Elephas maximus indicus: one gene and its partner. The protein of the gene in region 1 purifies or fractionates together with the protein of each later gene. This does not show direct contact. Links are inferred from orthologs where the notes say so. Each region holds a gene or a part of one and is shown in the gene's direction. Other genes may lie near its edges.

Region 1 (7,820 bases):
GAGAAAGAATGAAAGGAAAGAATACTGTCTGCCTTTTGGAATTCTACAGGGAGGGAACAGGCCGAAAGAGCTACATCTGTTGTCTTCCAAGAAAAGAAAAGGACTATCCCTGGAGTAACTCAGAGATCAGCAGAACTGTTGGAAGGAGCATGGGAAGCAGGGCCTTCTCAATTTTAAAGGGTAGGGCCATGGTTTCCTGGATCTCAAAGGGTGGGGCCACAACCTCCTTGGTTTCAGAGTTGATCTTTGCCAACTTGATTTCAGAGTATAGGGCTGCCATTAAGAGTTCACAGATCCAGAGATGATGAAGAATTTTGCCCCAGGATGGAATATGCCTAAAGTCTTACCCATATTAGATTTAGATGATTCAGAAGATGAGGTTTTGAACTTGGAGTTGATTTAAGACTTTTGGGATGATGTGATGGGGTAAATTTGTTCTGTGGCAAGGACATGAATTTTGGGGGGCCAAACGATGGAGTGTTATGGGTTAAATTATGTCCTCCCAAAATATGTGTTGTAAATCCTAACCTCTGTGCCTGTGGTTATAATCCTATTTGTGAATGGATTATTTTGGCTATGTTAATGAGGAAGGATTAATGAGTCAATCTCTTTTGAGATATAAAAGAGCAGAGATGGGGTAAGATAGATGCCAAGACACATGGAAGTCTCCAAAGAACCAAGAAGCAGAAGCTAAAGAGACAAGGACCTTCCTCCAGAGCCAACAGAGAGAGAAGGACTTTCCCTAGAGCCGGTGCTCTGAATTCGGACTTCTAGCCATCTAAACTGTGAGAAAATAAATTTCTGTTCATTAAAGCCATCCACTTGTGATATTTCTGTTACAGCAGCACTAGATAACTAAGAGACCACATCAAAGTCTTTTAGGCTACTGTAGCTTATGCTGCATTAACACACTGTCCTGCTCTTGTTTTGGACTGCAGCAGCTTCACCATCCACTTGGCAATGTTTTGGGAAGACAAAGTAATATAGAGGGACCTTTCTGGGAAGCCTGCAGTCCCTCTCCCCCCACCTTCCAAAGACAAGGAAGTTTTCTGTTAAAAGAGGCAGTGAGGCTCCCAGCCAGGTTTTTGGAAAAGGGCTACTGACTGTTAATGGGAATGGACTGGAAAAGAGGAGTTTGGGTACCTGAAGTACCTAAGTGTTTTGTACAGTTTTTTGTCTTATTTAACTGCATTGTCATGCATAGTTTATTGGTTACTTTGCCTTAAATTGCATATAACAAAATCTCAATTTAACTGGTTTAAGTAAGGAAACTCATTTTGTTTAAGAAGTCCTGATTTAAGATGGCTACCATATTGGTTAATTGATTCAATTATAACATCAAGGAATCAGGTTCTTGCAGTTGTTTTGCTCGCTATTCTCTGTGTTGGCTTATCCTCATGCTAGTTCAACTCATCCCTAGATGGCTGCCGTAATTCTAGACAATGTTTAGCCGAAGAGGCACTAATTTTCCCCACTGTCCCATTTAAAAGCAGGGAAACCTTTCTCAAGAAGCCCCAGCAGATTTGACCTTATGTCTCATTTGTTAGAAATTGGTCATCTGCCCATTCCTGTCATTGGCAAAGACCATTATCAGTGACTTAAATTAACCAGGAGTTTCCCCCTGGGTCATATGGACTAGAAAGTCTAGTGTACTGGCAAGAAATAAGGGGGTAAGGGCTGTTTGGCATGCATCCAGCAGTGTCTGTTCTAGGTAGGTGCTCTGATTTTTACAAATAAAGAACATGAGTCTCAGAGAGGATCAGTGACTTTCCCAAAATTCCATCTAGTAGCAGAGGACCTTCAGTCTCAGTTCTGTCTACGCCTAAAGTCCCTATGTTTTATATTGTGTCGTGCTGCACTTGGGGAAAAGTACAAAGTAGCTTTCTTTTTGCCTTATAGAAGGTGCTGGTTCAGGTGATGAGATTTGAACTCAGGTGCCAAGTTGGGTGTACCCCAGCCCATGTGAGAGGAAAGGACTCTATCCATTTGCTCTCCTCATCCAGTAATGATGATTCTTGTCTAACACAGGAAGCTAGGAATACAAAAGTCCTAAGTGAAGGGAAATATTACTGGTAGCAAGGAAGAAGACCAGGCACTGTGAGTCCCTTAGCCTGATTTGCTGGGCTTGGGTTCGTACCAACAGTTAAAGCAGGCTGCTGGCCATCTTTTCTTTCCTGAGTATACTGGGTGTTTTATAGCTCATTTTGCTTTTTCCTAATGAGCAATGATAGAGATCAACTTTTCATGTGCTATCCAGGTATCTTCTTTAGTAAAGGGTTCATATTTTTTGCTCATTTTTAAATTGAGTTGTCTTATTACTGAGTTGTAAGGGTTCTTTGTAAATTCTAGATACAAGTCCTTTTTTGGATATATATTTTGCAAATATTTTCTCCCAATCTGTGGCTTGCCTTTTCATTTCATTTTAAAGAGCAGAAGTTTTAAGTTTTGCTGTGCAGTCTATTAATTTCAGTCAGATTTGTTGCCTTTTTTTTTTTTTTCCTAGTTTGTGTTTTCTTAATCATATTTTAAGAAATTTTGCATTGGGTGTTTTGGTGGCTGCTGAGGCAGCACAACTTTCAGAGGGCACTGATTTCCATGCTCCTAAGATTTCTGTGGAAACCCTGGTGGCGTAGTGGTTAAATGCCATGGGTGCTAACCAAAAGGTTGGCAATTTGAGTCGACCAGGCGCTCCTTGGAAACCCTGTGGGGCAGTTCTACCCTGTCCTATAGCATTGCTATGAGTCAGAATTGACTCGACAGCAACGTGGTTTTTTTTTTTTTTTTTTTTTAATATTTCTTTATACACAAGGCATAAAGGCAGAGTTCTAGCCTGCTTCCAGAGCCCCGTACTTGTAGCACATTTATTTATTTATCCATCTATCCATCCAGCAAATATTTACTGATCCTGCTGTTTGCCAGGCACTGACCCAGTTCTAGGAACTGGGGCTATGGTAGTGAGCCAGATACACAAAGATTCTACCCTTATGAGCAGCTCAGTTGAGAATGAGGTTATCCAAAAATTGTGTGTGGGGGGCTACTTAAAGGGAGTGCCTAATTCAGCTTTGCCTTTGATAGAATCATTCAAACCTCTTTGCCTTCCCACTTCCCAATATTACTATTCATAAGCTTTTAACGTTGGCTTAGTCTAAAGAGGAGGAGTTTCTGGATAGCAGAAGTAGATGGGAAGGCATCATAAATATTTATTAAATCCAAACCCTCCATCAGTGTCAGAAAAGAAGATAGTGGCCACCTCCACGTTTTATCACCATGTCTCCTCTAGAGGATGAAAAGGCCTGGAATCAGAGAACTAGATCCAGAATGGGGGATAGAGGGTATGATAGACCCTTACACAGGAGTTGGTATTTACCCTGACAGATGCTGCTACCACAACTTGGGTTGTGTACAGTCAAGGATTCAAAAACTTTTCAGATACAGTTTCATCTGGTGACAGATTTGAAATTTTCAAATTTGGGTAGGGCATTATCTTTCACAGAGGTAGAGGTGGGAAGGAAGAAGAAAGTGAAGCACAATTGGAGTCAGACAGATGTGGGTTTGAATCCCATCCCCTTATTGTTTACCGTATGGTAGGTACATCTGATAAGTGCTTAGAAATCATAACTATAGTAAATATTATGGGTATCCACTAACATTTAGGGAGGGTTTTCTCTGTGCTTTATGTATATTCCCAAACCTCACAACAACTGTGTAAGGTACATATTCTTTCCATTTTTTCAGATGAGGAAACTGAAGCCCAAAAACATCAAGTGACTGATTCAAAGTCCCACAGTTGAGTGGAGGGAACTGAAGATATTTTTTCTCCTTCATCTTCTCAAGCTTTGAGAAAATGTATTTTGATTAAAAAAAAAAAAAGTCTAAATCTTTTGATATTTAGGGATGTAGGAAAAAACCATGAATCAGCCTAAATAAAATGGTATCATGTTTCATTCAGGCAACAAATATTTGCCAGTGTGCTGGCTCTGGTTTCCTTATGAGGCTTGCACTGTAGTGGGAAGGGGCCACACAAACTAGTGAAATAATTAGATTGAAATAAGGGCTACCAAGAAAGTGTTGAGATAGAATAACAGGGAGCGTCCTAACATAGCTGAGTGGTCCGAGAAGGCCTCTCTAAAATGCCTTAAATTGAGGGTGGGGAGGAGGGGGCAGGAGGGCTGACTGGAAAGGAAGCGAGAAAGGAGGAGAAGGTTCCTGGCCAAGTGCACCAAAAGCAGGCTCCTAGACGGAAAAGCAAAATGCTTTGCCGGTTAAGGGAATCAGAAGCTGAACAGTGTAGCTGTAGTAAAATGATCAGGGAGAGCCTTACTTGGAGAGAAAGGCAGGGGCCCCTTAACGGAGTGCGTTTTGGCCCTGGAAAGGAGTTTGGATTTTCTCAGTGTCAAGGCGGTATTAAGGAGTTTTAAACGTGGAAATTATTCGATCCGATGTTTGTGTAATGTCCTGTTCCTTAATCACCTTTTTCCAAAAGTCGTTAAAGCAACCCTACCGATTTGGGAGATAATCAATTGTGCGGGTCACTTGACCTCTTGTTGAGGGGGAGGCACTTGAGGCAGCCCAAACTAGGGGGCGGGGAGGGACGGACCAAACGTGCTCAACCGGGGGGGCCTCAGTCTCAGCTGCAGGTCCGGATCCTTTACTTGGACAGGCCTAGCTTTCAGGTAGGCTCCTCCCCAGGTAAGCTCCGCCGCCATCCGCGACGTCGCCTCTGGCAGGCCCCGCCCCCAGCAAGGTCGCGCGAAGAGCCCCGTCCCTCGGGGTTGTCTCCGGCCGGCACGACCAGCGGAGAACCGCTGATGGGCCGGCCCCGCCCCGCTCTCCTCCCGGGCCGAGGCTCCGCCCAGGCTCCGCGCCCGCTCCCGGACGCCTCCTCTGCGTCCTCCGCGCCGGCCGCGCCCGCACCGACGTCGCTCTCGCACGGCTTGGGGCGGAGAGGCGAAGCTTCGACGTCGGGCGAGCCGGGGCAGCGGAACTGACGCCAGCGGGCTTCCGGGGGCGTCCCCCGGGGGAGGTCGGTGGCACGGCAGTCGTGGAGGAGCAGTGGGAGCGTAAGCAGTCAAGGGCGACGCAAGTTCCGGACCGGGCTCCCCTTTTTCGCCTCATACCTCTCCTTCCTCTGGTTTAGTCCTGTGTGGTTTCCCGACGGCGGCTCTTCCTAACGCGAGCTTTCGGAGTGCAATTGCTGAGGAGGCGCAGTCGCCGCCCCCGTCCCGGGGCCGAGTGAGGGTGTCTGTCGCGCCGCGTCGCCCCCCGCGCCGCCTCCTTGCCCCCAGTGGTGGGCGCTTTTCTCACTCGGAGCACTCCCCCCAGCTCCATGAATGGAAATCGGCTCCGCAGGTGAGTCTGGGCCGGGCACGGTCGGTGGGGGTGTCACCCAGCTGTTGTCCCCGGAGCCGAGCATCGTCGCTCCTTCCACCCCGGCCCAGGTGCGCGAGGTGGGCACCCTCCGGGCGTCGTCCCTCTTCCCGCCCCCACGCCCGGCCTCTCCGCATCCGCGCCGCAGTTCTCCGGCGGCCACTGAGTTAGCTAAACTGCCTGGAGGGGAAACTGTGCTTAAAAGATTTAAGTTCATTGTTGTTTAGGCGATATTACTCATTTTTTGTGGAATACTCGTTCTCGAGTCAGGAACGGTTTGCCATCGGTTTTGTTTTTATAGTTGAAGAAGTAACGGTGTCCGTGTCCTCTAACTGGGTTGTGTGTCCCGTTCAGTCTCTGGGTGGCGAGCCACCTCCCTTACCTATCTCTTGAGGTAGTTGTGAAGATACATTGAGATAACGGAGGAAAAATGTTTGAAGTAGGTATTAGGTGCAACGTCAAATTTAAGATGGCATTTCTTCCATCCCCTAGTTATCTGTTAATGCTTGTGGCAGCGTGGTGTATAGTTCTGAGTAGCTTGGAGATGTCATATCAGCCTGGATCACTGCTTATGTGAGGAGGTGGATCTTAAAATTACTGAAAATATATATATTTTTCCATTCTCTGTACCCTAGAGAAGCAGTTTTCATTTTCCTGGGAATTTGGAATTTAGGAAAACTGCTTTCTCTCCTGGGGAAAACAGCAGTCTTGAAAAAAATTGCGATGTGGGCAGTTCTTTTAAAGAAAAAAAAAACAAAAAACATGGTGTGGTTCTAAAGTAATTACTTGAGGGACATAGAATAGCTGTTACATAACCGTTTGTTCATCAAATGATGATGCTTGGTATGTTAAATTTGGATGTATGCCTCATCCCGATGGTCACAAATTTATAAACTAATTTAAGAAAAAAAAATTTTGGGGGGGGGACATCTTGTTACAAATGGTATTATGAGTCTCTGAATTTCACATTTTCTTTTGCCAGTTTGAGAGGTACCTCAATATGATATAAAGAATTTTGTTGATAAGGAGTATAATTGTCAATTAGATGCAAAAAGCACTCAGAAATTGGGGGAGTGAAATGGAGAGGAGGTTTATTACAAGTTTTATTACATGGAATTTTCTAAAATCAGCTTCCACATCCTTTTAAAAATGGAAAGTTTGCCTAGATTGTGAAGAGCTTTGAGACACTTTTATTATTAATTCATGTATTTCAGAAGCTGCCCTGGTTTTGAAATTTCTACCATGCTCTTTGTTCTTACTGTATAAAAGGTGCAATGATTTGGGGCTATTTTACATAATTTTCTCTCATAGAAGCCCCTGGGTGATACAGATGGTTAATGGCTGCTAATTGAAAGGTTGGAGGTTTGAGACCACTCAGAGGCATCTTGTTAGAAAGCCTGGTGAACTATTTCATAAAATCAACCATTGAAAACCCTGTGGAGCACAGTTCTACTCTGACACACATGGGATCACCATGAGTTGGAGTTGACTTGGCAGCAGTTGGTTAACTGGTTGGTTAATCTTGTTGTAAAGCTGGAAAACAAAACATGAAAGTTAAACATTTAGTTATTAATCATAATAATCATACCAAAACTTTTAAAGATATATAAAAAAAAATTATTTTCTGTTTCTCTCCGCCCCTCACCTTTGGGTTTTTCATGTGAAATTATGCCCAAATATATGGGCAACAATTTAGAGTAAATACTTCTGAATTCACAATGCCTTAGCCAGCTATTACAACTAGCCGAAGTACAACTGGGTAAATGTTCTTACGAATTCTTGAGCTGTAGATAAGTTTTGTGTGTGTGTGTGTGCCATTGCTGAAATACTTACTCATTTAACTGTCTTCACATATGGGCAGGTATAGTTAGATGTATCAAAACTATATATATGCTTGGACATCTTAATGGGGTTTATACATGACAGGACTATAATAATTAAGATAAGCTTTATAGCTTAGTTCAGGATTGTCGTTAGCAAAAAACAAAATTTTCATTTTCCCAGAGATTTAAATATAATCGTTACGCTGCACATGAAATTGAAAGCATAGTTAGGAAAAAATGTGCAACTAAGTTTTATATCAAGAATTTGACAGATATGTTATATATTTTGGTTTAAAAACTTTTAGATATAAATGTGCTTTAATAGTCTATTGGTCAATATTGGATCTTGGCTCTTTCTGTTATAAGTTTTTGTTTTGTGTGGAGGTTCTCAGGAATCATGACAGGATGTTTTAAATCCTAATCGTGTGGGCACATAGAAAACTTATTTACGTTAAAGGACTTCAAATACATATACTGTGTAACTTTTTTGGAAATGTTGCTCACTAAATATTAATATTTGTCTGTTCTTCCCTTTTGCATGAAATAAAATTTAAGTGATTTTTAAGGGTGTTCTCTACTATTCACTGATTTAGTACTGTCTGAATTTTGATTTAGCCAAAATATCTGGCG
Region 2 (7,690 bases), on another chromosome or scaffold:
CTCTCCCCACCCCCCACCCCCACCCCGACACGTATCTACCCTCTCCCATCTTCCAAATAAAAGCTTTACCATTGGGTTAAATTAAAACGTGTTCCAAAAACCTTTTGGTTCCCAGCTGAGCACTTAACCACTGCACCACCAGGGCTTCTTAAAATGATGTACAGATTCAGTGCAATCGCTATCAAAACCCAATGAAGTTTTTCACAGAACTAGAAAAACCCATCCTAAAATTCATATGGAATTTCAAGGGTCCCTGAATAGCCAAAAGAATATTTAAAAAGAACATGTTACCGGATTCACACCTCCTGCTTTCAAAACTTACCATAAAACTACAGTAATCAAAACAGTGCAAAGCTGCCGTAATGATAGACATAGATCAACGGGGCAGACAAAAGTTTGGCAGTTTAAACCTATCAGCCACTCCGCAGTAGAAAGATGTGACAGTCTGCTTCCGTGAAGATTACAGCCTTAAAACCCTATGGGGCAGTTCTACTCTGTCCTATAGGGTCACTCTGAGTCGGAATAGACTCGATGGCAACGGGTTTGATTTTTGGTTTTATGTAGTCCTCCATACTATCAGAAACAGAATCTTCCAATTTACTTCTTAACCACTATCATCAGACTTCCACAACTTCAAATTCCATGGAAACCGTTCTTCCAAAGCCCCTGATGAGCAGGAGGCAACTGCCAAATTCCATGGATACCATTTCAATTAGGATACGTGTTCAACCACAAGCAATAAAATACCTGACTAAAAGTGGCTTACCATATTTTTATGCAAATAATACGCACCTTCTACATTTGTTCGCCAACCACACCCTCCCCCCACCAAGGTATTTTCATAAGTGCAGCTATGTTAATTCTTTTTACATGTTGCTGTAAAAAAACGAACATAATGTGCTTATGAAAATACCTTGTGGGGGGAGGGCACAGTTGGCAAACAAACATAGAAAACCTGCGTTATTTGCGTGGAAATGTGGTACACCATAACCAAAAACAAATCAGTTGCTGCCAAGTCAATTGCAACTCACGGCAACCCCATGAGTGTCAGCATAGAACTGTGCTGCATAGGGTTTTCATGGCTGTAACCTTTTGGAACCAGATCCCCAGGCCTTTCTTTTGAGGCACATCTGGGTGGGTTTGAACCCCCAGCCTTTCAGTTAGTAGTCAAGCACTTAACCATTTGCACCACCCAGGGACTCCAAGGCTTAAACCATAAAGACACATTTTTTTTCTAAGAAGTTCTAGGGTCAGTTAGGTAACTCAGTTCCATCAAGGACCTATGTTTCTTCTGCAAGCTGGCATCCTCAGTACACCAATGATGTTTTTCACCTCATATCACATGATGGTTGCCTCCCATGACCACATCAAAGTAGGAAAAAGGTGGCAATTAAGAAAAGAACCTTTTTCTCATAGGCCTCTCTCTTTCCAGAGGCTCCAAGCAGACAATCCTTTCACTCTTCTTGCAAGAACTGTGGCATGCCCACCCCCGAAACAATCCCTGGTATAGTAGAATAGAGCCACCTCTGGGGCTGAAAACATTGCTGTTGGAACAATTATGGGGTTCTGTTAGCAAGGAATATGAGTTATTGAAATTCTTAAGACCTCTGTCCTGAGGTGCATGTTGTCCAGGGGAGGCAACAAAAACACAAACAGATATACAGGGATGGATTACCCAATAAACAAGGTAAGCACACGATTAATTGTGCTTACTTACTAACCTGTTTATGCATGCCATTTCACTCCTTTTTTTTTTTTTTTTTTGATGACTGAACACTAACGATCAAAGACCAGATGAGTTGTGAAATGACATCAAGGACATCATCACAAGTTATGGATAACACTGCAAAGAATGGGCATTCCAGAACACTTAATTGTGCTCATGAAGAACCTGTACTTAAACCAAGAGGCAGTCATTCAAACAGAACAAGGGGATATTGAGTGGTTTAAAGTCAAGAAATGTGTGTGTCAGGGTTGTATCCTTTCACCGTACTTATTCAATCCGTACGCTGAGCAAATAATCTGAGAAGCCAAACTACATGAAAAAGAATGTGGCATCAGGATTGGAGGAAGACTCATTAACAACCTGCGTTATGCAGATGACACAACCTTGCTTGCTGAAAATGACGAAGACCTGAAGCACTTACTGATGAAGATCAAAGACTACAGCCTTCAGTATGGATTACACCTCAACATCGAAAACAAAAATCCTCAAAACTTGACAAATAAGCAACATCATGATGAACAGATAAAATTGTTTAGAACTTCATTTTACTTGGATTCACAGTCAACACCCATGGAGGCAGCAGTCAAGAAATCAAACAATGCATTGCATTGGGCAAATCTGCTGCAAAAGACTTCTTTAAAGTGTTAAAAAACAAAGATGTCACTTTAATAACTAAGGTATGCCTGACCCAAGCCATGGTACTTTTAGTCACCTCCTATGCATGTGAATACTAGACAATGAATAAGGAAGACCAAAGAAGAATTGATGCCTTTGAATTACGGTGTTGGTGAAGAATATTGAATATACCATGAACTGCCAAAGGAACAAACAAATCTGTCTTGGAGGAAGTACAGCCGGAATGCTCCTTAGAAGCAAGGATGGCAAGACTTCACCCTACATACTTTGGACATGTTATCAGGAGGGACCATTTCCTGGAGAAGGACATCATGCTTGGTAAAGTGGAGGGTCAGCATAAGAGAGGAAGACCCTCGATGAGGTGGATTGACACAGTGGCTACAATAGTGAGCTGGAGTATAGCAAGGATTGTGAGGATGGCACAGGACCTGGCAGTGTTTCGTTCTGTTATACATATGGTAGGTACCTATGGGTTGGAACTGACTCGACGGCACCTAACACTAATAACGCTAATCTGTACTGCACAATTTCAGTGGGTGTACTACAGACTAGTAAGTAAGCACAACTAAGCCTATGCATACCTTGCCTACTGGGTGATCAGTCCCTGGGTGAAACCCATGTGAAATTGTGCACTGCAGATTAGTTAAGTGAACACAACTAAGCCCGTGCGTACTTTGTTTACTGCACTTACTGGTTAATCTGCCCTGCTGAGATATAGCAATTGCAAATTTCACAGCCACACAAACTCAGGTGTGCAAAAATGGAAATCGTCTTTGTCTATACCCAAACCCAATTTCTACCCTAAGACCCCATTCTGTCTCACATAGAAAACTAATCTGTCATATCCATGTAAACTCAGTCATGGGTACTAATTAGTACTCAAGCACTAATCAACTATGTCTGCTACAGACACCTTCTCTGCCCTTATTGTCGAAGACTGTAGAAAGCCAATCTGATTTGGAACAGGGCTTTTCACTGCTGCCCATCTGCTCCCAAAGCACCTTCCTCCTTTGATCAAACAGGCCTTGAAGCTGCAAAATGACAGTAAATCTCACTACCTCTCTCTAAGGAAAGTGGGTCCATGCAATTTGCTTGTTTGTTGATTCAAGTGAGCATCAGGGCTTAGTATCAACCCTAGGGAGGAGGAGGGTAATGAGGGGAAGATCTTTCATTTGACTTTTTAAAATCTGAGGCACAGAAGAATGTCCCAGGTGACTGAGTTTAGATGAAAGCAACTAGATTAAGTTTCCTATATTGGGCAGAGGAAACCCTGGTGGTGTAGTGGTTCAGTGCTACAGCTGCTAACCAAAGGGTTGGCAGTTCAAATCGACCAGGTGCTCCTTAGAAACCCTATGGGGCAGTTCTACTCTGTCCTATAGGGTCGCTATGAGTTTGGAATCGACTTGATGGCAATGGGTTTGGTTTGGTTTTGGTATACTGGAAGAACAGGGTGGGGAGGGAGGGCTAGGGAAGTGAAGTTCAAGTGCGGAAAAACAGAGGATTTACATTTTTGCATACCCAAGACTGTGTGACTTTGATATTTGCATCTGCTACGTTTGTTTGTGTGTTTTCGGCTGCCTCTAAGAGGCAGCAGGTACCTCAAGGCCAGAAATCTTGTCTTCTGCATTTCTGTAATACCTCGTCCCTCCCTGTCTCTTCCTTCTTGGTGCCTAGCACAAGACCTGGGACGTAGTAGCTACTACTCCACAAAAGTGTCTGTTCATTTTTCATTATTTTGGTGGATGAATAAATGCGCAAAGGAGGTTACACAATGGGAGGAAGCAAGGCCAACAGATTTTTAAACTGTATCCTGATTTAGGAGAAAAACATAGAAATGCGTGCAGAGGTACACGCACACACGAAGAGGAAGAGAGAGATCTCTGCAGACAGAGCAAAGCTACCTTCCCTTAAGTAAGGAGACAGCCTAATCAGAGAGCCAGAGGGGCCCCACCTGACTGCTGCTGCAGCTGGGGGAAAAAAGGGGGGGCGGGACTAGAAGGTTCAGCTGGAGCAGTCTCCCCTTCTCTTGCCGTTCCCCACCTCCACCCGGCTGCCCTGTGAGCCTGAAAGCTGTGGGGAGGGGAGGCAGCCAAGCTTTCCAGAACGAGGCAGGATGGTGTGAGCTCAAACGCCCAGCAATTGCTGGAGCAACGGTGGCGACACTTGAGTTATTCACAAAGGCTGGGATTCAAATGAGGCTGGCGTTGCTCCAAGTCGCAGTAGCTTAGGAGGAGAAAGGCGGATTAAGTATTCATCAAGATTTTAGCGTCGCATGGGCTCCGAGGGGTCTCCGTCTGCATCTTTCACTCGATCGTGGATTTTTGGGGAGGAGGGGGCTCCCCCAGAAGCACTTTGTCCGTCAGTCCGGGAGCCGGCGGTGGGGGTGGGAGCTGGAGTTAGGCCGATTTTTTTCTCGTCACATGATGGGGGACCTGTATCATGTGATGACTCCGGTGATGTTGGAGGCAGCATGTGACTCCCAGGGCTACGTGGGCTCAAAAACAATTTAAATACAAAAACATAAGCAGGTTCCCCTCCTCTCCTTTGCCTTTTGGTCTGGCTCTCCCTACCTTCGGGTTGGTGCCTGACTAGATGGAAATCCCGTCGCCTGGCAGCCACTAACCTGTGAACGCCGGGTACCTGGGAAGCAGGCCCCACTGCGGGGGCTCCAGGAGCCCGGCCCCGTCCTTGGCCGCCCACTGACTCCCAGCCTGGTAAGTTACTGAGCACTTTGAGCAATTACGTGTGGAGCTGACCTCGACCGCCTCATTAGCATGCTCAGGGCGCCCTTGTTGGGCACGTTGGGAGCCAAGTGCCGGCTCAGGGGAGCTGCAGCTCTCCGGCCTGGCGAGCAGACGCAGCTGTCCTGGGGGCACAGCTGTGCTGGCTACGCTGGGTGGAGGGAGCTTCGCCTCCCCTCCCCAGCCAGTCTCTCCTCCATCCTCTGTCCCCTCAGTGTCCCTTCTCAGAGTCTCTCTCCTCTCAGCCTCTCTTACCTCTCTCCTCCCTCTCCACTCTCCTCTTGTTTTTTAGTCTCCCGTGCTTTCTGTCTGTGGATACCTATAGCTTATGATCTTCCTGTCCAGAGCCTGAAAGATCAGCTTCTAAGGACTTGGTGGTTGGAAATGTACTAATTGTCCCTTCTAGGGAGCCCTGGTGGCTCAGTGGTTAAGGGCTCGGCTGCTAACCAAAAGGTCAGCAATTTGAACCTAGCAGGCACTCCTTGGAAACCCTATGGGGCAGTTCTACTCTGTCCTGTAGGGTCGCTGTGGGTCAGAATTGATTCAATGGTGATTGGCACGGGTCCCTTCTACGTTTTGGTTTTTCCACTAAGACCACGTAGATTGCCCAGTTCCTGATATGTCTGTGGTGAGGGTGATTGATATATTTCTTGGGGTCATCACAACTGTTCCTTAGCTGGATGTCTGTTGGCCTGAGGTCCCAGCTCCACTGGGGCACCAGTGAGTGAAGGGGGGGCAGTGACAGCAGTTGGGAAATGGTGCTTCCTGACCCCCCACTCCCCTATGTCTGACTTTGTGTGGGAGAAAGTCAAAACCCAGTGCTCAGTGGTTAGGGCTCACTCAGGTGTCATGGGGCATCTTGCAGAGCTGGCTCAGAGTTTGAGGCCACACCTCTGCAGAATAAGGCAGAGCGTTGGCTGGAAAACTGGCCATGGGAAAGCTGAATGTAAATGGAGTCACAGTAGTGTCTATAGCCACCAAGGAAGGAGAGACTGGTGATATCAGAAGCTGCTGGTTGACCATTATGTTGGCATGCTGACATCTATTCGGCAGGAAATAGGTAACAATTATTGAGCAAAATCTGCCCAACAACACAATGAATAGGTGCTATTATTGTACCCTTTTTAGAGGTGGGGAAACTGAGACACAGAGACATTATGTCACTTGCTTAAGGTCACTCAGCTAGTAAATGGCAGAGCTAGGATTTGAACCCAGAGAGTTTTTCTCCAGAGCCTGCACAGTTAACCACTGTGGTAAACTGCCTCACAAGATAGCTATCCAACAGTTACTAAGTAACAGGTACTGTGCAAGGTTTGGGGTCATATTTGTAAATAAATCAGAGACACCCCCACTCCCATGGAGTTTGCAATTTTAGCGAAGGTAGCTATTAAACAAATCATCACACAAGATGATATGTTATTTCAAGTTGGGGTACTTTCTATGACAGGAAATAATAAGGTATTATGAGAATATAGGAGCACTGGTGGCGTAGTGGTTAAGAGCTACAGCTGCTAACAAAAAGGTCGAGAGTTCGAATCCACTAGGTGCTCCTTGGAAACCCTATGAGGCAGTTCTACTCTGTCCTGTAGGATCGCTATGAGTCAGATCGACTCGACGGCAACGGGTTTTTTTTTTTTTTTAATAAGGATATAAGAAGCCCTGATGGTGCAGTGGTTAAGTGCTCGGCTACTAACCAAAAGGTCGGTGGTTTGAACCCACCAGCCACACTGCGGGAGACAGATGTGGCAATCTGCTTCTGTAAAGATTACAGCCTTAGAAACTCTATGAGGCCATTCTACTCTGTCTTAGTGTCGCTATGAGTTGGAATCCAGTCGATGGCAATGGGTTTTTGCTTTAAATATATGACTTGGAATCAATTTGATGGCAGTGTTTTTGTTTTTGTTTTAAATGGGTGGGTGAATATGTAACAGGGTACATACATTAGTGAGGAAGGAGGAAGCATTGGTCAAAACAGGCCTCTGATCATGTAATTTAAGTTGGGACCTGAGATAGAAGCAGGAGCCAACCAGATGAAGAGTCAGGAAGAGCATTCCAGACAGAGGGACTAGCATGTGTGAAGTCCTTGAGGTGAGAAGGGGCCAGGGCCACTTGAGGAGGAGCAAGAATCCTCGTGTCTGAGCACGGAGCGTGAGTGGGACCACACTAGGAGAGGAAACTATCCAGATATGCGGGGGCCCTGAAGGCCATCGTAAGTGATTTTTATTTCATCTCACCATCAGTGAGCAACCATTTAAATACTTTAAGTGGGAAAGCTGCATGATTTGGTTTGCTATGGAAAGACCACTTCCTCAAGTGGTGTATCTGTTAGTTTTGCTGTATGACAGACCACTCCAAAACTTAGTGGTTTAAAACAACGATCATTTATAGCTCATTGTTCTGCGACTTGGCAATTTCAGCTGGAATCATCTGGGCAGTACATCTGTTCTTGCCTGGGTTCACTCATGTGGCTAGTCAGTTAGCAGGTTGGCTGGGGGCTGGTTGATCTTAGATGGCCTCATTCACTTGTCTGCTGATAAGCAGGGGCATTGAAATGATGTGTCTCCATGTGTTTCCATATCTAGCAGGC

What was found.
Region 2: the proteins of AGO3 (region 1) and TNRC6A purify together in Homo sapiens (affinity purification with mass spectrometry; 7 studies listed by BioGRID and IntAct, with this or other methods). This does not show direct contact. The link is inferred for Elephas maximus indicus from reciprocal best matches to the Homo sapiens genes AGO3 and TNRC6A.

What each region holds. Positions count from the first base shown.
Region 1 is NC_064821.1:77,286,530-77,294,349, forward strand, and holds the start of AGO3 (protein argonaute-3), read left to right. Parts: upstream 1-4,763; 5' UTR 4,764-5,330; coding exon 5,331-5,349; intron 5,350-7,820.
Region 2 is NC_064830.1:84,785,001-84,792,690, forward strand, and holds the start of TNRC6A (trinucleotide repeat-containing gene 6A protein), read left to right. Parts: upstream 1-4,688; 5' UTR 4,689-5,076; intron 5,077-7,690.